Arabidopsis thaliana: one gene and its partners. The protein of the gene in region 1 purifies or fractionates together with the protein of each later gene. This does not show direct contact. Each region holds a gene or a part of one and is shown in the gene's direction. Other genes may lie near its edges. The genes, in order: GRF10, AT3G11770, PDX1.2 and EMB3147.

Evidence for each region.
Region 2: the proteins of GRF10 (region 1) and AT3G11770 purify together in Arabidopsis thaliana (affinity purification with mass spectrometry, with the first as the bait; one study listed by BioGRID). This does not show direct contact.
Region 3: the proteins of GRF10 (region 1) and PDX1.2 purify together in Arabidopsis thaliana (affinity purification with mass spectrometry, with the first as the bait; one study listed by BioGRID). This does not show direct contact.
Region 4: the proteins of GRF10 (region 1) and EMB3147 purify together in Arabidopsis thaliana (affinity purification with mass spectrometry, with the first as the bait; one study listed by BioGRID). This does not show direct contact.

The regions. Positions count from the first base shown.
Region 1 is NC_003070.9:7,878,205-7,883,084, reverse strand, and holds GRF10 (general regulatory factor 10), read left to right. Parts: upstream 1-1,689; 5' UTR 1,690-1,981; coding exon 1,982-2,048; intron 2,049-2,400; coding exon 2,401-2,707; intron 2,708-2,914; coding exon 2,915-3,002; intron 3,003-3,109; coding exon 3,110-3,219; intron 3,220-3,300; coding exon 3,301-3,449; coding exon of another isoform or gene 3,450-3,484; exon of another isoform or gene 3,485-3,797; coding exon 3,798-3,835; coding exon of another isoform or gene 3,836-3,841; exon of another isoform or gene 3,842-3,860; intron 3,861-3,933; coding exon 3,934-3,939; 3' UTR 3,940-4,326; downstream 4,327-4,880. Other genes in the region: MBD8 (methyl-CPG-binding domain 8), read left to right, coding at 1-549, 906-1,371. UniProt on the Arabidopsis thaliana protein: Is associated with a DNA binding complex that binds to the G box, a well-characterized cis-acting DNA regulatory element found in plant genes.
Region 2 is NC_003074.8:3,720,779-3,724,751, reverse strand, and holds AT3G11770 (Polynucleotidyl transferase, ribonuclease H-like superfamily protein), read left to right. Parts: upstream 1-2,010; 5' UTR 2,011-2,157; intron 2,158-2,644; 5' UTR 2,645-2,659; coding exon 2,660-3,262; 3' UTR 3,263-3,456; downstream 3,457-3,973. Other genes in the region: AT3G11780 (MD-2-related lipid recognition domain-containing protein / ML domain-containing protein), read left to right, coding at 105-158, 319-426; AT3G11773 (Thioredoxin superfamily protein), read left to right, coding at 1,093-1,353, 1,422-1,763; AT3G11760 (structural maintenance of chromosomes flexible hinge domain protein), read right to left, coding at 3,629-3,973. UniProt on the Arabidopsis thaliana protein: 3'-to-5' exoribonuclease (RNase) specifically targeting single-stranded RNAs. Triggers miRNA accumulation in RNA-induced silencing complex (RISC), composed of miRNAs and AGO proteins, by degrading uridylated cleavage fragments.
Region 3 is NC_003074.8:5,443,432-5,447,096, reverse strand, and holds PDX1.2 (pyridoxine biosynthesis 1.2), read left to right. Parts: upstream 1-1,767; 5' UTR 1,768-2,031; coding exon 2,032-2,976; 3' UTR 2,977-3,147; downstream 3,148-3,665. Other genes in the region: AT3G16040 (Translation machinery associated TMA7), read right to left, coding at 3,287-3,367, 3,450-3,491, 3,566-3,621. UniProt on the Arabidopsis thaliana protein: The protein has no function in the formation of pyridoxal 5'-phosphate.
Region 4 is NC_003071.7:12,882,414-12,887,607, reverse strand, and holds EMB3147 (EMBRYO DEFECTIVE 3147), read left to right. Parts: upstream 1-1,831; 5' UTR 1,832-2,125; coding exon 2,126-2,416; intron 2,417-2,664; coding exon 2,665-2,750; intron 2,751-2,827; coding exon 2,828-2,894; intron 2,895-3,054; coding exon 3,055-3,197; intron 3,198-3,364; coding exon 3,365-3,413; intron 3,414-3,558; coding exon 3,559-3,696; intron 3,697-3,780; coding exon 3,781-3,861; intron 3,862-3,946; coding exon 3,947-4,123; intron 4,124-4,190; coding exon of another isoform or gene 4,191-4,209; coding exon 4,210-4,296; intron 4,297-4,383; coding exon 4,384-4,446; 3' UTR 4,447-4,660; downstream 4,661-5,194.

The DNA.
Region 1 (4,880 bases):
GAGGAAGATTCGGAACCCTAGCGAAGAGAATGAGGTTTTGGATTTAACTGGTGAAGCATCTACGTATGTGTTTGTAGATAAAACTAGTAGCAATTTGGGAATGGTGAGTAGAGTTGGTAGTTCAGGAATCTCCCTGGATTCAAATTCAGTGAAGAGAAAGAGAGGTCGTCCTCCAAAGAATAAGGAAGAGATAATGAACCTAGAGAAGAGAGACAGTGCAATTGTGAATATTTCTGCGTTTGATAAGGAAGAGTTAGTAGTGAACTTGGAGAACAGAGAAGGTACAATTGTGGATCTCTCTGCATTGGCTAGTGTTTCAGAGGATCCATACGAAGAGGAGCTGAGGAGGATCACCGTTGGGTTGAAGACAAAGGAAGAGATCTTAGGTTTCTTGGAACAATTGAATGGTGAATGGGTGAATATAGGGAAGAAGAAGAAAGTTGTGAATGCTTGTGATTATGGAGGATACTTGCCTAGAGGATGGAGACTTATGCTCTACATCAAAAGGAAAGGTAGCAATTTGTTGCTGGCTTGTCGCAGATACATAAGGTATAATAATGTTTATGTTCTTCACTGGTTCTGTTTCTAGTTGGATTATAAAATAGACCTAGTATTGGCTGTGGAATTGGTTATAGCAAAACTAACACTTTGTTACTATTGAAGATATAGTTTTATAGGATTTGGTATATGATGTTTTAGTTTCTGCTGCTAGACTTTTGATTGTCCCTCTTGTTTGTTTCTCCATCTTCTTGAACATGATAAAAGATGTTTACATGAATTAAGGGCTGCTACTGAAATTGCTTATAGTTCGTTTGTGTACTCTCTGCCGTTCTAGGATTCTAGCTGTTGTTATCACTTTTAGTTCAGGATTCTGAAAATTTTCTCTTTTGTTTTTGATTATATAGCCCTGATGGGCAACAGTTTGAAACCTGCAAGGAAGTCTCCACATATCTACGATCACTTCTTGAATCCCCAAGCAAGAACCAACATTATTACTTGCAATCTGACAACAAGACTCTAGGACAACAACCAGTGATAGCTAACGAATCTTTACTAGGTAACTCTGATTCCATGGACTCTGAGACAATGCAGTACCTTGAGAGTGGAAGAACCAGCAGTGAGGTGTTTGAGGAAGCAAAAGCCGTAGAGAATGGCAATGAAGCAGATCGAGTGAAAACCAGTCTGATGCAGAAAGATGATAATGCAGATTTTCTGAATGGAGTTGAGGACAACGACGATGATATGAAGAAAAGAGATGGTAACATGGAGAATTTGGCGACTCTATCGAATTCAGAAATGACGAAAAGCCTACCGACAACGACTAATGAGCTTCAACAGTATTTCAGCTCACAAATCAACCGAGTTCAGTGACCATTTCTTTTACCTGGAACAAATTGTTTTCTCATTCTAGTTCAGATTTTATATTTTATGCAAACTAAAAGCGTGTTGTAGCTAACTACAGGATATAGAATTTGAAAGGGCCATGTACAAAACATTTGACAGAAACCAAATTTTTTCTTCAAAAGAAAATTTCTTTGAGTTTCAATCTGTGATTGATTTGGATTTGGATTTGGATTGGCATAAAAAAAATCTATGATTTGGATTGTGTTATATAATATAGAAAAGAACACAAACCCTTAAAATAATGGACAAGAGGACATGTCTTTCTCCGTTTATCACGGTCAGCGTCGTTAACCTTTTACGTTATTGACTAGATCGGGGTTTAATAAGAAACATATATTAGTTTTAGGTTCTTTCTGTGTAAAAACTAAACCTTTGTGGCTACTTTATAATTTATAAAACTTATGTTTCTGAGTTTTGTTGACTAAAAAAAGTAGATCCAACGGCTGATATAATACCACTATGAGAGGATCCTAGGGTTACTACTAATCTCGAAATCAATCAAATCAAAGCATCCATTTTTGATTCAGACTTCAGAGAGACAGAGAAGGAAGAAGAAGAAGAAGAAGAAGAAAAAACTATGGAGAATGAGAGGGAAAAGCAGGTTTACTTGGCTAAGCTCTCCGAGCAAACCGAAAGATACGATGGTATTTTCCGATTTCTGGATCTCTATTCAGAAAATGATTTGTTCATGTTTCTGAAAAAATCCGATCTTTTATTGCTCCGATCGAAATTGTTTTTACATTTCCATAGATTTTCTTTGTAGCCCTTTACCGATTTGTATGTTTCTGGGCTGTTACTTGATCTGGACTTTTAGATGCGACCTTTAAGTAATTTCTTGTTTAATGTTGTTTAGATACTCTGATCACTCTTGATCTTATCTTGATATAATTTTATACTTACTGTTGTCGAATCTCTTAGCATGAAAATGAAATAGATCTACGTTTTTGGAAGCAAATTCAAAGATCGGATATTTTTTTTTTGTTGGTGATGATGCAGAAATGGTGGAGGCGATGAAGAAAGTTGCTCAGCTTGATGTGGAGCTAACTGTGGAAGAGAGGAATCTTGTATCTGTAGGGTACAAGAATGTGATTGGTGCAAGGAGAGCATCATGGAGAATACTATCTTCCATTGAGCAGAAGGAAGAGTCCAAGGGAAATGATGAAAATGTCAAGAGGCTTAAGAATTATCGTAAGAGAGTTGAAGATGAGCTTGCTAAAGTTTGTAATGACATCTTGTCTGTCATTGATAAGCATCTCATTCCATCGTCTAACGCTGTGGAGTCAACTGTCTTTTTCTACAAAATGTGAGTGTCATCTTTATTATACTCTGACCATTCATGTGATATTTGTGTGACTAAGAATGAGATCATTTCCGTTTGACTAAAGTTAAATGTTTAAGTTATTACATAGCTACCACTCTTGCTTGTGTTCTTCCTGAAATGATGATGATTCATGAACTTTTCCTTGTTTCACTGTTTTGACTTTACGTGTTTTTTTTTCTTTCTATGTAGGAAAGGAGATTACTATCGCTATCTTGCGGAGTTCAGTTCTGGTGCTGAACGCAAGGAAGCTGCAGATCAGTCTCTTGAAGCATATAAGGTCCTTTGATCATGTTTATTTGTTTTCTTATTTTTGTGCCACCCCTCTTATATTTGAGCTGGGAATAACCTAAGACAAGTCTTGCTTTTTTCGTACTGGGAATGTAGGCTGCTGTTGCTGCTGCAGAGAATGGTTTGGCACCCACACATCCAGTTAGACTTGGCTTGGCGTTGAACTTTTCAGTTTTCTACTATGAGATCTTGAACTCTCCCGAAAGGTTTGTTTTTGTATTTTGGATTGAACATAATAGTGGAATCTGTGGTCATTTTCTGACACTATGAAACTATGTATTGTACAGCGCATGCCAATTGGCTAAGCAAGCATTCGATGATGCAATTGCTGAACTTGACAGCCTCAACGAGGAATCATACAAAGACAGCACTCTTATTATGCAGCTACTTAGAGACAATCTCACCTTGTGGACTTCAGACCTTAATGAGGAAGGAGGTATTCTTATTTTCTTTTGTTTCCCTATCTCATGATCAAATGGTTTCCTTAGAATCAAATGAGCTGTTAAGAGCGTTACCTTGGAGTAAAAATGTTGATGTTTGGGAACTCGTAACCATTAACCATCTGTCTATATTTGAATTAAACCGTCCTTTATGCATGTATTGCTATGTAGATCTTTCATTTTAGTTTTGAAAGCCTCAACAAAAAACATACCAATCTACCATCTCATAGTTATTGGATTCTAGCTAATCTTGTAAAAGTTATATGTTTGTAGCAGAAAACATTACTAGTTTCTTGTTTCTCTTCCAAAGCTTTTTCACTCACCTTTTTTTTTTCCCCTCTTAGATGAGAGAACCAAAGGTGCTGATGAGCCTCAAGATGAGGTATGAAAAGCCAGTTTTGTTATAAGTTAAGCTACTTACTGATTTTTCCATTTTGCATTGACAATTAGACCACTCATGGAATTACTGAATCATTGCAGAACTAAATCCTCTGTGAGAAGAGAAACGACTCTTGCTGCATCCTGAATCTTGAAGTGAAGACAGTAAGTGTCGTTGTTTGTTACTCGAATGTGTAATTTTTAATCTATGTCTTTCTTGATGGTGTTTTCCAGATTCTTGAACTTTTCACAACACAACACTGCGTTGCGTATCTTCAACCCTCTTATGATGTGGTTGAATTCTGTTTTACGCTTAGTTTGCTTCTTTTGTTGTTGAATTGAGCCAGCAGGCATGATTTGGGTTTTTGTTTATCAGAATATTAGGCGTATCATGGTCTCAAAATTAAAAACCAAAACAGACAAAGCTTTATTCGAAGTTTGTAATAACTAATAACTCCTTGCAAAAATCATGAAAGTCTGAATTCAAGAGGCTCTTAATAATTTGCATAAGTGATCCCAAACTTCACAACTTTTCAATTTGTGGATGTTTGCCCTCTTTGTGGCCAAGGAATCATCCTCAAGTGTGTTTCTCTACGGTGGTTTGGTCCGTAAGTGTGTGACATAATAATGGTTTGGTTCTCCCAACATGACCCTCAAAAAGGATCTCTATGCTCTAAATATGGGACTCTTGTAAGTTGTAATTGTAACCAAATGCTATCACAAACTCTCTAACTCGTACCAACACTCATTGTGTCTAATCCAATCGAGAGCCCTCAAAGTCTAAAACATGTTAATCAAACTGTGAACCAGTTAATCCTTATAGAATCAGATATCTTTTTGTCAACCATCTAAATAACATTTTTGTCACGAATTGACCACTTCCCTCGAGAGATTTTGTAGTGTTTTCTTTAATATTTTTATATGTCCAATGAATAATAATTTCATACATCTATCGAAAACTTCAATTTTGAGCTACAAATGATCAATTCAAGTATTCACTTGGCCCAACTTCTAAATTCTTTAGGTGAGTTGTTGCTAGCACAACAAAT
Region 2 (3,973 bases), on another chromosome or scaffold:
GACATGATGATGCATTATGCTCATTTGAAGTTGATGTAATTCTATTGCAGTCATAACAAATTGCCTAGTGTAATCGAATCTGTTTAGTTGGATAACTGAAATAGACTGAGAAGAGGTTTAACTTGGTTTCGATAGCATATTATGAGTTCCATGTGGAAGTATTATGTCTATTAAGCGGCTAAAGTGAAGAAGTTTAACCTTCTTGTTGTCAAGATTTGCTGGTTATGGTTTCTATAGTTATATGTTTGTCATACCAAACTTTCGTTTTGTGTTTCTGCATCTAAGGAAGGACCAGTCTAATCCTTTTCTTTCTCATAGGGTTCATACTCACTAAAAATGAAGATGCTTGATGGACGCAAGAAGGAGTTAACTTGCATCAAGTTCTCATTTGATATTGGATTTGGATCCTCCGTGGCCGACATGTAGAGCTGATTTGCTCGACGGGATACACCATCTTGTTCTATACCATGGAACCACTCTCATTTATTTTGTATAAAATACACTCTCCTGCTATACATAATTGTTGATCAAAAACCCTTTGAAAATTCTCATTCTGGACCATTCATGAATCCCCCCATTTATAGAAAAAACAAAGTAATGAATTATTGATTAGGTTTTATAGAGCTGTGGTTAGTTCTAGTTGCAACCTTAAAGCTGAGCCTACTTTAACCAATAGTACATCATTACATCCACGTTCATGGAATTATAAAGACGTGACATACATCATCATTCAACCAAACGTAAACCATTAATGACTTATCAGAAAAGATGAATTTTTTCATAGCTTCAATATACCAACATGTTAAAAGGGACATTCCTCCCCTTTTGCTATGTATTTGGACAAAGTTGGGCTAAAGTTGGGTAAATTCAATGTTTTTTGTTACCCTAATTTAGCTTATCGGTTATCTTCTTTAGTACTACAATGACCCGTCAAAGGAGAAACTTTTGAAAAGCTAACCCACAAAGTAGCTTTTTTGTTCAGTTGAGTACTCATTTCGTTTTTCTCTTATCCAGTCTCATGTTTGTCAATCTTGATTAGGTTTTTGCCTCTCCTCTTTCACAACTTCTTATCAAAGGTTGAAGGTTGAAGCAATGATGGATATGAAGGAGAGAATGGTGAAGAAACTTAAGCTTATTACATCTCTTGGGAACTTGAAGCAGGCGATAGCTCTCCACAAAAGCAATCTTGATCACACAATCTTTCATCAAATAGATGAGAAAGAGTGTCTTACGCCAACGACAATTGAGGTTTCTGAGGATAAACGACTTCAACAGAATCTTGATGAGCTTTTGTGGGCTTTTGAAGAGAAATGTGTAGCTGGTGGGCAAGATTCTGTTGCTTCTTCACAACAAGTCTACGAGGAGTGAGAAAGACTTTCGAAGATTGCAGAAGAGTGAGATTCTTGCTAGAGAATCATAAGGCATCATTCCGAGAAAGAGATGTTTCAATGGATTGTGAGTACAAAGAAGAGATGTGGAGATTGCTTGGGGAGCAAGTTACACCTCCTAGGCTCTTCATAAAGTGTAAGTACATTGGTGGAGCAGACGAGGTGGTGTCTCTTAACGAAAACGAGAAGCTCAAGAAGCTTCTAGAAGTGTTTTCATCAGCTAAGTCGCGGCAGTGTGAGATGTGCGAGAACGAAAGATTTTTGATATGTTCGAAATGCAATGGGAGGTCGAGAGTTGTTGCAGAGCACGAAACCTGGAAGAGATGCATAGAGTGTAATGAGAATGGTCTTGTGAAATGTGCTCTTTGTACTTAATCCAAGATTCCAAGTGCTTAATAACAATTTATTTATATGACTATAACTAATTGTTTTATATGAAACAAAATGCTATGAATATACAAGGAAAATTTTCGAAAACAATACTCAAGGAGTTGAGTGAGTTTTCCAAAATGTTAAACCAAAATCAACCAAAGTGAAGAAAAAAATAATGTTCTATTGACTCTTCTAAAATCCTTCTACTACGGAACACGTATGGCGACATTCGCACGTGCGATACCCGTAGGTAAAGACACGTGTCATTCCTTCAATGGGCAGGACCGTACTTTCACTTGCGTACTTTTCCTTCTTCTTCCGACAACAAACCCAGAAACAGTCTTTCTCTCTTCCGACTCCGTTTACTAGATCAGCCTTCTCGCACCGAAATCTCAAGGTTCGTGTTCCTCTTTTCTGTCTTTTTGGATTGAAAGATTTTTCTCATGTTTATATATAAATCTTCAATCCAAATCAACAAAAGCATGTTCCATCCGATGAACTTATTTGGGGACTTTCCTCTGTCTAATCCACACTTTATAAAAATCGTACCTTTGTATTGTGTTCATAGAACCCAAACGCTGATTAGAGTAAATTTGTTGTTCTGGCAAAAAACCCAATTAGCTCTGAATGCGTCTACACATTTCTTGAATCGGTCATTCTATTGCTGCTACACACTCAAAATCGATATTTCAATGTCTTTGTGAATTGGAAAACATATTGAAAATCTTTGCTGCTTTATCAGTTTTTCATTCGATTCATCGCTGAGCACATTCACAACAAAAACAGATCACTGATTATTAGAATTGTATTGATTCTGAGTGTCTCTCCAAGCTAATGGATCTATATGATGTTGTGTCTAATGTGTAATGTGAATATGTTTCCAGTGATTTCAGACCACAATGGCCTCATTCGATGGGCAAGGGTTTATGATGGTTGATAATTCTTGGGTCCAGACCAAAGCCATTGATGTTGAATCAACAACCGATATCTCTCCTTACCTTTCCAAGATCCTTGAAGATTCCGTCTGGAATGGAAACCGGTCCATTGTCTTTGATGTGTATTGGGATGTCAAATCAGTTAGCACAAAGTCCGAATGGCGTCTATGCTCAGTGAAGTTTAGCACTAAAAACTTCTGTCTCTTCCTCCGCCTGCCGAACCCGTTCTGTGATAATCTCAAGGATCTTTATCGCTTCTTTGCTTCCAAATTTGTCACATTTGTCGGTGTCCAGATTCAAGAAGACCTCGCTTTGCTTAAAGAAAACCACGGTATTGTGATCCGAAGCTCGTTGGAGATTGGGAAACTAGCTGCGAAAGCCCGAGGTACTCCAATTGTTGAGTTCCTTGGAACCAGAGAATTAGCTCACAAGATTCTTTGGTATGACATGAGTAGGCTTGATTCTATTCAGTCCAAGTGGGATGAAGCCAGCTCTAATGATCGTCTTGAAGCTGCTGCCATTGAAGGTTGGCTTATTTTCAATGTCTACGATCAATTGCAGCAGTGATTTTTCGTGGCAATGTTCTTCATGTAACTCTTATGTTAACCTTCTTGATCAAATGGATTTGTGAGATTGCGCTTGATTGCGCTTGATTGATTCATGTTGTGTATTGTGATGAGTGAACAATACTGTCTGAATAAAACATGCCCGGCCTTGTCTTTTTGTCTGAAGATTTTGAGATTATGGTACAATGCCAAAATTTTAAGCTGTAAAAACATAATGAACCAAAAAGAGACAGCGAAATAGAACGAGCAAAAATGTAAATTCCTTGGATAGTTAGATACAAACTGGTTTAACTCTAAATCACATTCACAAGTTAGTTACAAAACTTACAAGAAACTCAACAAAACGTTAGCAACTCTGCCTAGGCTTTTATAGACTGGTAATCTCTGCGTTTGTGGTGTAATGAAACTCGATCTGTAAACGGTGATGAACAGGCGCGGTTGAGGCTAATCCTTTCTTGATATCCTCTTGCAACTCCCTAATTGGTATGGCCGCCAAGAAATTCTTAATATACTCTTTACATGACTCCTTCCCTCTGCTCAAAATCTCTGATTCAGGTTCTGATTCGGATCCTGCTTCCTCTGTGTGAAGAATCTTGTGGATGACGGTTTTATGGTCGAATTTCAAAACGTAAGCTTGATCACAACCCTCGTAAAGCCTTTCTCCAAGTGTGTCAATGATATAGTAAGCTTCTTTTTCAACTTTGAGGACAAA
Region 3 (3,665 bases), on another chromosome or scaffold:
TCAATACCATGTAGTCGATTTATCCAAATAGTTTGGACCTTTTTTCTAAAATTCAATTAAATTCATTAGAAAATCATACGGATTACATTTACTAATATGAACTTCTACAATGTTAAATTTACATACGTCAACTATATCTGATAATATCACTAAAAATTAAGTTATATTAGCTAAACCTCGATAATTAACGTTTTTGAATTCAAAAGTAATGGTAACTTTTTTGACCAAATTATTCTCACGCTTGTATAAGTAAAAGTTGTTTTTTAGAGTGATCATGATAGCATTAAAATTTGGATTGTCTGAATTCAGTGGCTTTGTTTTACTATTTTATAGTATTCTATTATAGAGCAGGACTATATATTATTAATTTTCTAGCTTTCAAGTTTGAATTTTGCAAAAGCAAATGTGTCGCGCCCTTTGTCGTTTGTGAGTGTTATTCGTTGTGGTCTCCCTGGATAGCAAAATAACAAATCAACATGAGATATGAATATATGATATGACTAAGACGAATAAGAGAGAAAGTGTCACCATATTTATTAATTATCTCTCTCAATGAGCAATCGAACAACTCCAAATCAAAACATAGAGAAGATCATATCATCAAGTTTATTTCGAAGCTTGAACATAAATGGTCTTTTCCATACATATGATATGGTCAGATCAGACGTCGTCATTCTCCATTCATTTTGGGATCGCATGGGTCAATATGAGCTGATATTTGTTTATATAAAATTCGCATGTCGTTTTCATACATCGCTTCATATGTGTGTTTAATCGATTTCCCACCATTTATTTACTCGTGTCTAAAACTCAACAACAAATCGTTGGTATTTTCAAATCTACACCCACATGCAAAACATCACCACATTTTAAAAAAAATGAATGTAAAATTTTACCAATCCAAAAAAAACGTTTTTACAACTACGTGTTACTTTGAGTTTGAAGTTTCGTAATTAAATCTCTTAGACAATGCTTCGATCCTTTGCCGTAGTTGCTTGACGTTGTGTGTATTCACCACTTTCGTAGCCCTTCTTCATAGACCTTGCTTCCTGATTTGATAGAAGACAAATCAGTAAACGATCACCACATTTTTTGATGTTAAACAAATTTTCTTTACCATATGTCATAAAACCAACTGCACCGTATAAATCTCTGGATCATGCCCGCGTACTCACATTACGTAAGAGATGAAAGTAAACTACATCCTCCTACAATCTTTTTGTTTCCCAAGCTGCCAAACAATCCAAAACCGTTGTAGTCATTTTTACCATCATCCATATATGGTGAATCGGTGATGACGGTTTAAAAAAGAACTTTTTTCTTCCATCTTTTTATTTTGCCGACTGATTTTGTCTCATCTAATATAATATCAAATCATACAAGATTCAGAACTTTATATGATTAAACATCCTCAGTGGTAGTGACAGTTGGGAAGAGTAAGATTTACGTACTCAATTATTTAATTGCTTCAAAACTGTAAAAATGTATAGAACCAACAACCTGAAACACGTGAGGAGCACTACAAACGACGTCGTCTAGTGTCGTGACAATTTATAACATGGTGGGCCACTAAGTAAGACAGTTGTTAGATGTACCACTCCCTTTATTTCGTAAATATTTCATGCTTTGTTTTCTTCTTTGACTCGTGTCCATCAAAACAATCATTTCAAAATACTTTGGACGAGAATTACACACGATTACGCCACGTGTTCTATTCACATCCAACGGCTCTTACAAAAATAAAGAAAAAGTCCGTCTACTTGGGTCATCAATCATCATCATGGAAGCCCACTTAGTTTCCTTTTTCTGCATACGACGCCGTTTTGCGATTCCACCCTAACCATTTCTCAGTGACGAACAGTCTCAGAAGTTTCTAGACCAAACCACACTCTTCTTCGTCTTCTCCGTTCTCTCTATATTTCTCCTCACCTTCAACGCAGCTTTCTCGTTCTCGTCTCAGATCGTGTTACTAACAAACACCGTTTCTCCGGCGAAAAGCTCTCTGTTACTAAAAACTCACAGAACCTAAAAATGGCGGATCAAGCTATGACGGATCAAGATCAAGGAGCTGTTACTCTCTACAGCGGCACAGCCATTACCGACGCGAAGAAAAACCATCCGTTCTCTGTTAAGGTCGGATTAGCTCAGGTACTTCGTGGCGGCGCCATTGTTGAAGTTTCCTCGGTTAACCAAGCTAAGCTCGCTGAATCCGCCGGCGCATGTTCTGTAATCGTCTCAGATCCGGTTCGATCTCGCGGCGGTGTTCGTCGTATGCCGGATCCGGTTCTCATCAAAGAGGTAAAACGAGCTGTGTCTGTACCTGTGATGGCACGAGCTCGCGTTGGTCATTTTGTTGAGGCTCAGATCTTGGAATCTCTTGCGGTTGATTACATTGACGAGAGCGAGATTATCTCTGTTGCGGATGATGATCATTTCATCAACAAACATAATTTCCGATCTCCGTTCATTTGTGGTTGCCGTGATACAGGAGAAGCTTTGAGGAGAATCAGAGAAGGTGCTGCTATGATTAGGATCCAAGGAGATTTAACCGCAACAGGTAACATTGCAGAGACTGTGAAGAACGTTAGGTCATTGATGGGTGAAGTTAGAGTCTTGAACAACATGGATGATGATGAGGTGTTCACGTTTGCTAAGAAGATTTCAGCACCGTATGATCTTGTGGCTCAGACTAAGCAGATGGGTAGGGTTCCGGTTGTTCAGTTTGCATCAGGTGGGATCACGACTCCTGCTGATGCAGCTTTGATGATGCAGCTAGGTTGTGATGGGGTTTTTGTGGGTTCTGAGGTTTTTGATGGTCCTGATCCGTTTAAGAAACTTAGGAGCATTGTTCAAGCTGTTCAACATTACAATGATCCTCATGTGTTGGCTGAGATGAGTTCTGGATTGGAGAATGCAATGGAGAGCTTAAATGTTCGTGGTGACAGGATTCAAGACTTTGGCCAAGGCAGTGTTTGATGAAAAGGTTCGAAGCTGCAAACTTTTTGGGACTTCTAAAGTCGTAATCTTTTTTGGTTTTGAGTCTCAAAATATCGGTTGTTTTTTGTTAATGCTGGTGCATATGATCCGTTTGGTTTAATCGAAACTTGCAACAACTAAAACCTCAATGAAAAGTTGCAGAATTTTTGAAGGAGGTACAAGTCTTAGATTTATATTTACTTCTACAACATCGCAACATGATTTTAATGGTTATAACTTATAAACTAGTCATGGTACATTGACAAACATATATAAGGTGATATAGGATTACATTGAGGCAGATTTAGTCTTATTTCTTCCCACTTTTCTTAAGTCCTGAGCCTCCGAATGATCCTTTTTGTGAAGCCTTGGCCCTGAGTTCTTTAAGTGCCTGTTTTCATCACATAAACAAGATCATCAACAGCAATCACCTTCTCCTTCAATGAATCAAAACTAAGATTGAGAAAACTAACCTTCTCTTCATCCTTCTTTTTCTGCATTAACTCCATATCGTGCTACATTTGAAACAGAGTAAAACCATTAAAACGTTGAGCTAAAGAAAAAGGCAAGGGTACAATTGCTATCATACCTCATCGTACTCCTTCTTACCAGACTTGGGCTGCTTCAAAGGCTTCAATTTCCCTCCTGAAATCATATTTCATTTTGCAGAAAATGTTGGATTCCATAAG
Region 4 (5,194 bases), on another chromosome or scaffold:
TTCAACCTTTGTTTTCGATGTACTTTTGTTATTTTCCTCGTAATAGAGTGAGTGTTTTCATTTTTCCGATTAAAAATTTACCAAATAAAAGCTGTGTTAGTTAATCTTCTTTTTCTAGCTGACTTTCCCAAACAACTTTATTAGTTATTAACTTAATATGAACCCACAAGATACTTTTAATTACATTATCATACATAAACTTTTCTTGCAAAAATAGCATCATATCGATCTTTAATTGGCCATCTTTACGAGAAAATAATTCTTGAAAAAGAACGTAAATAGTGTGGTTGCGATTCCGTTGATCAAAATTTACCATTAAACTGAAAAAAAAAAATAGTGATCCATGAATTACATTTCTGTATAACTTCTTCCACAAAAAGATGATTTTTTTTGGTCAACTTTCTCCAAAATTCTCAAAACAATTCGCCGTCAATGCCTATAACTCGACATAAGTAAATTGACTACAACTGCCATAAGATTGTAAGTTTGGTGGTCTGTTGGTCATCCTGATGGAATGTAGTTGTACCATTTTGAACTATAATAGAATCTAATGAGATAGTTTTGATCGATTGTTATAAATTGGATAACCCTAAATGTAAAAGTACAAAAAATACATTCTTCGTTGTGGAATCCTAATAAACAAAATTGTCCTCTGGATACTTAATAATTCAAACGTCATGACATAAGTGATCCAAACATCACAAAAAAAATTCATAATCTATTGGAACAAAAGGTTGATAGACTTACATGAGTGGTATCCATTCCAATCGACACTAAGATTTACTGATCCCAAGTTGAATTCATGCGAAAATATTTACACTAAAATGGTTAGAAATAGGATTTGGTATGGTAAACATTTTTGGGATACTCTTTATTGGTCTCGATTTTGCAATCAACGTCGCAAATAATTGATTTACGATATCTTTTACCTCACACGAAACGTGTACACAATTGTGTATTCTTTCTTGCACAACCCTAGACCTTAGTTTAAACTTCAATCTTCTCCGCAATGAAATAAAATACACAATTATACATAATTTCCATAATCCAACATTTTTTTTTTTATATCTAAAAGCACCTCCAATGGAGAGAATCTGTCGAAGGGTTCTCTCTATTTTTTTATGATTAAATTTCAAAAAAATTAACAAAAGAGCTTTTTTCTTTTTTTTGGTTTTTTATAGTCCAATGGTAGGTTCTTTTAGAAGAATTCTCTGGAAAAACAATATTAATATAAAATTATTTTATTTCATACAATTTAATAATTATTACAAAGTATAAAATATTAAACATACATTAATTTGAAATATTATAAAATAGATATGAAAAAAAACGGAATAAAGATCAGTTGTTCTGTTGATTGTTACAACATTTAGTCACGATATACAAGAGAAAATGACTTGATTCATACCTAATTTGGAGAATCCGTCAACGATTACTCTCCAAATCATATTTTCTATTCTCCGATTGAGTTTATCTTCCGGTGATAGTCATCACCATCTGCAATGTTATAAAAGTCATGCAGTACGTACTTAGGTGCTAGAGTACCGCCTATTTCGGATTAATCGTCGACTAGGCGTTAAATCAAATTGGCAAATATGCTATAGTTTATATAAATATATAGTATATATAACTTTTAATCAGTCATATTTTTAAAATTTGATGTAGCATTGTGGTCTGGAAGGTTGTTTTTGGTAGCCAAAGTGATAAGTTCGATACCTACAAGTGGACAATATTATGCATTTTAGTTAAAACGAGGGGTACATCTGTAATTTCACGTACAAAGTCAACTGCTTTTCCTACAAAACCTAATCGCCGTCGTCAAACCTGAGTTTTTTTTTGTTCTGATTTTTTCGTATTTCTTCTATTTCCTCATCATTTTATCGCATCTCTTTACCAAAATAACACAAATACAACATTAATCTTTGGATGATTGACCACAAAATGGAATTTAACGTAGTCTTGAACACACGAATTTTTTTGTTTCTTTTGTTAAGCTTTACATCCAATCAAATTTGGACACGTGTCCGTTTCTCTCCTTTCTTCAAAAACTTCCCCCAGCTACCATCATCTTCGTTAACTCCGCTAAAGCTTTTTTAAAAAGGATTACTACTGTTTACTTCTCTGAATGCGTTCACTGCTTCACCGTACTATCTTACTCACATCTCCGTCTCATTCTCTTATCCGGCGCACTTCTCTCTCCGCCATGGCCACCACCGCCTCCTCTTCCTTGCTCCTCCCTTCCATATCTCTCAACAATCTCTCCTCCTCTAAAAATGCCTCCTTTGGCTTCGCCGCCAAGAATCTCAGCCGATCTAGGATTTCTATGAGCGTCTCTGCTGGATCTCAGAGTACTACTGTTCACGATTCTCTGTTCGCTGATTACAAACCCACCTCTGCTTTTCTCTTTCCCGGTCAGGTAACTTCCGATTACATGTTATCAATCTGAACAATGAAAATGTGGACTCTGATTGATTTCGTATCAATTTAGGAAATTTGGAATTGCCCAGATTGAAAAGTTTGCTAATTTTGATCTGATTGATGTGATTTTAATTACAATGTAGGGTCTTCATCATAACGTCATATTCTTTGCTTGTAATCTCTCAGAACTCGTTTCAATTTTTAGATCAAATGTGACAAAGTTTAGATGAATTTGCTATGTCTCAGGGAGCTCAAGCAGTAGGAATGGGAAAAGAGTCTCAGAGTGTTGGAGCAGCTGGAGAGTTGTATAAGAAAGCTAATGATATCTTAGGGTATGTTCCTTTGTTTAAAGTTGAAACCTTTTTGTTTGTTTTTGTGAATGAATAAACTATATGGTGGCTTTCTGCAGGTATGATCTTTTGGATATTTGTGTTAATGGACCAAAAGAGAAGCTTGATTCTACGGTCATAAGCCAGGTATCTTTGCAACTTTTGGTTAGGGACAACTTCAGATTTATGATCTTCTTTCTTGTCTGTTGTCACCTAACTCTAGCAAAACTTAATTTTTATGTGATGTTTCCTTTTAGTATGTACATTTTGGTATGATGTCTAAGTTATTGGTCTATCATTTTCTCAGCCTGCTATTTATGTCACAAGTTTAGCAGCAGTTGAATTGCTCCGTGTTCGTGAAGGCGGAGAACAAATAATTAACTCGGTTGATGTGACTTGCGGTCTCAGTTTGGGAGAGTATACTGCTCTGGCTTTTGCTGGAGCCTTCAGGTTAGTTAACATCTGAATCAATATCCTTAACTGAATGATAGAGGTATCAAATCTCGGATTTTCAAATATCATTGTAAGAAAGTATGTCACTTTGTTCCCTTTTACCTATGTGCATCATCACCTAACTTACTTTTGTTCTTTTCTCTGTTACTGTTTTTATTCTCAAGCTTCGAGGACGGGCTGAAGCTTGTAAAACTTAGAGGAGAAGCTATGCAGGTAAGATTGAACTCTGCTCTGTATATCCTTCATTGACTATGTCAAGTTTAGGTTGATGTTGTGACGGCTGAACTTTGTAGTGATCTTATATACCATTCGAACAGCTGCATTGACTTTTAGTTTTTGATAAAATGACTTTCTTCAGGCTGCTGCAGATGCTGCTAAGAGTGCCATGGTTAGTATCATAGGGTTGGACTCAGAAAAGGTTCAGCAGTTGTGTGATGCAGCAAATCAAGAAGTAGATGAAGCTGACAAAGTTCAGATCGCAAATTACTTATGTCCGGTATATATGTCTTCCATGAATCTTTTGCATTCTAGACTTGTATAAAATCATTTTCACATTCCTTTATGTGGTATACTGTTACAGGGTAATTACGCAGTATCTGGAGGTCTTAAAGGAATCGAAGTTGTTGAAGCCAAAGCTAAGTCATTCAAAGCACGAATGACGGTATCCTCTCTCTCTAATTCCATTTATGTTATGAAATCTTCCTCGATGCTATCAGAAACATGATTGTTGGCGGTTGGTTCTGTAGGTGCGTCTAGCTGTTGCAGGTGCTTTCCACACTAGTTTCATGGAACCAGCAGTCTCGAGATTAGAAGCTGCATTGGCAGCCACAGAGATCAGAAGTCCGAGGATCCCAGTGATCTCGAATGTCGATGCACAGCCTCATGCAGATCCAGACACGATCAAGAAGATACTTGCACGCCAGGTAATAAATCAATACTCAGAGAACTATGTGAATTATTTCTCTTTTGGCGACGCTATATAAAAAAAAGATGCAAATGTTGACTACAGGTGACATCTCCAGTCCAATGGGAGACAACAGTAAAGACTCTCTTATCCAAAGGACTTAAAAGCAGCTACGAATTGGGACCTGGAAAGGTATTTTTCTATCTTCGTAAACTCATTATAGATGGAGGTTTCTTCTTCTTCTTCTAAGTTGTGTGTTTTGTGGCATTCAAACACCAGGTAATTGCAGGGATATTCAAGAGAGTAGATAAAAGCGCAAGTTTCGAAAACATCAGTGCTTGAGAGTATTGCTAGCTTTTTGTTCACATGTATTTGAGTTGAGAATCATTGATAATAAGTAAATTTACAACGTATGTCTGTGGATCTCTCTAGTGCTTCAATAGTTTGGAATTCAAAGTTTTGTATGGAATATTTATGTGACACTTTACAGGATATATGTATTGAGATATCTTTTTAGTTTCAGTTGAAGTGAAGTGACAAAATCTCAAATTTGTGTTACTAGTTTTTGGGTTTTGCTGCTCAATCAAAAAAAAAAGTAAAAGAAATGAGTGAGCTCAGATTATAGCGAGGTTAATATCATATCCGAAGATTCATCACCACAGCTCAAGATATTTTCATCACTGCTCACATGCTACTAGATGCACCAGCCGGGAATCGAACCCGGGTCTGTACCGTGGCAGGGTACTATTCTACCACTAGACCACTGGTGCTTGTTGTTTCAACTACGTAAGTTTAGTTAATTGTATGTTATTTGAAGTCGAGTGATCTGGTTGAAGGTTTTATGCTATGCTAATCATGGTTTATGGTTTTGATCTTAGCGGGTATTTATTGGATGGTGATTTTACCCAGTTCCTAATGATACAAGATGAATCAGTTTATACATGTCAAAATTCTTGTTTTTCAAATGTTTCAACATGTATATGTGTTGTATCATCTATTGTAAATTAAGTACTTGATCTTTCTCTTATGACTTTCAGGAATATAGTTACAGTTCCAATGAGAAGTTCATAAAATGGACAGTGACAAACAT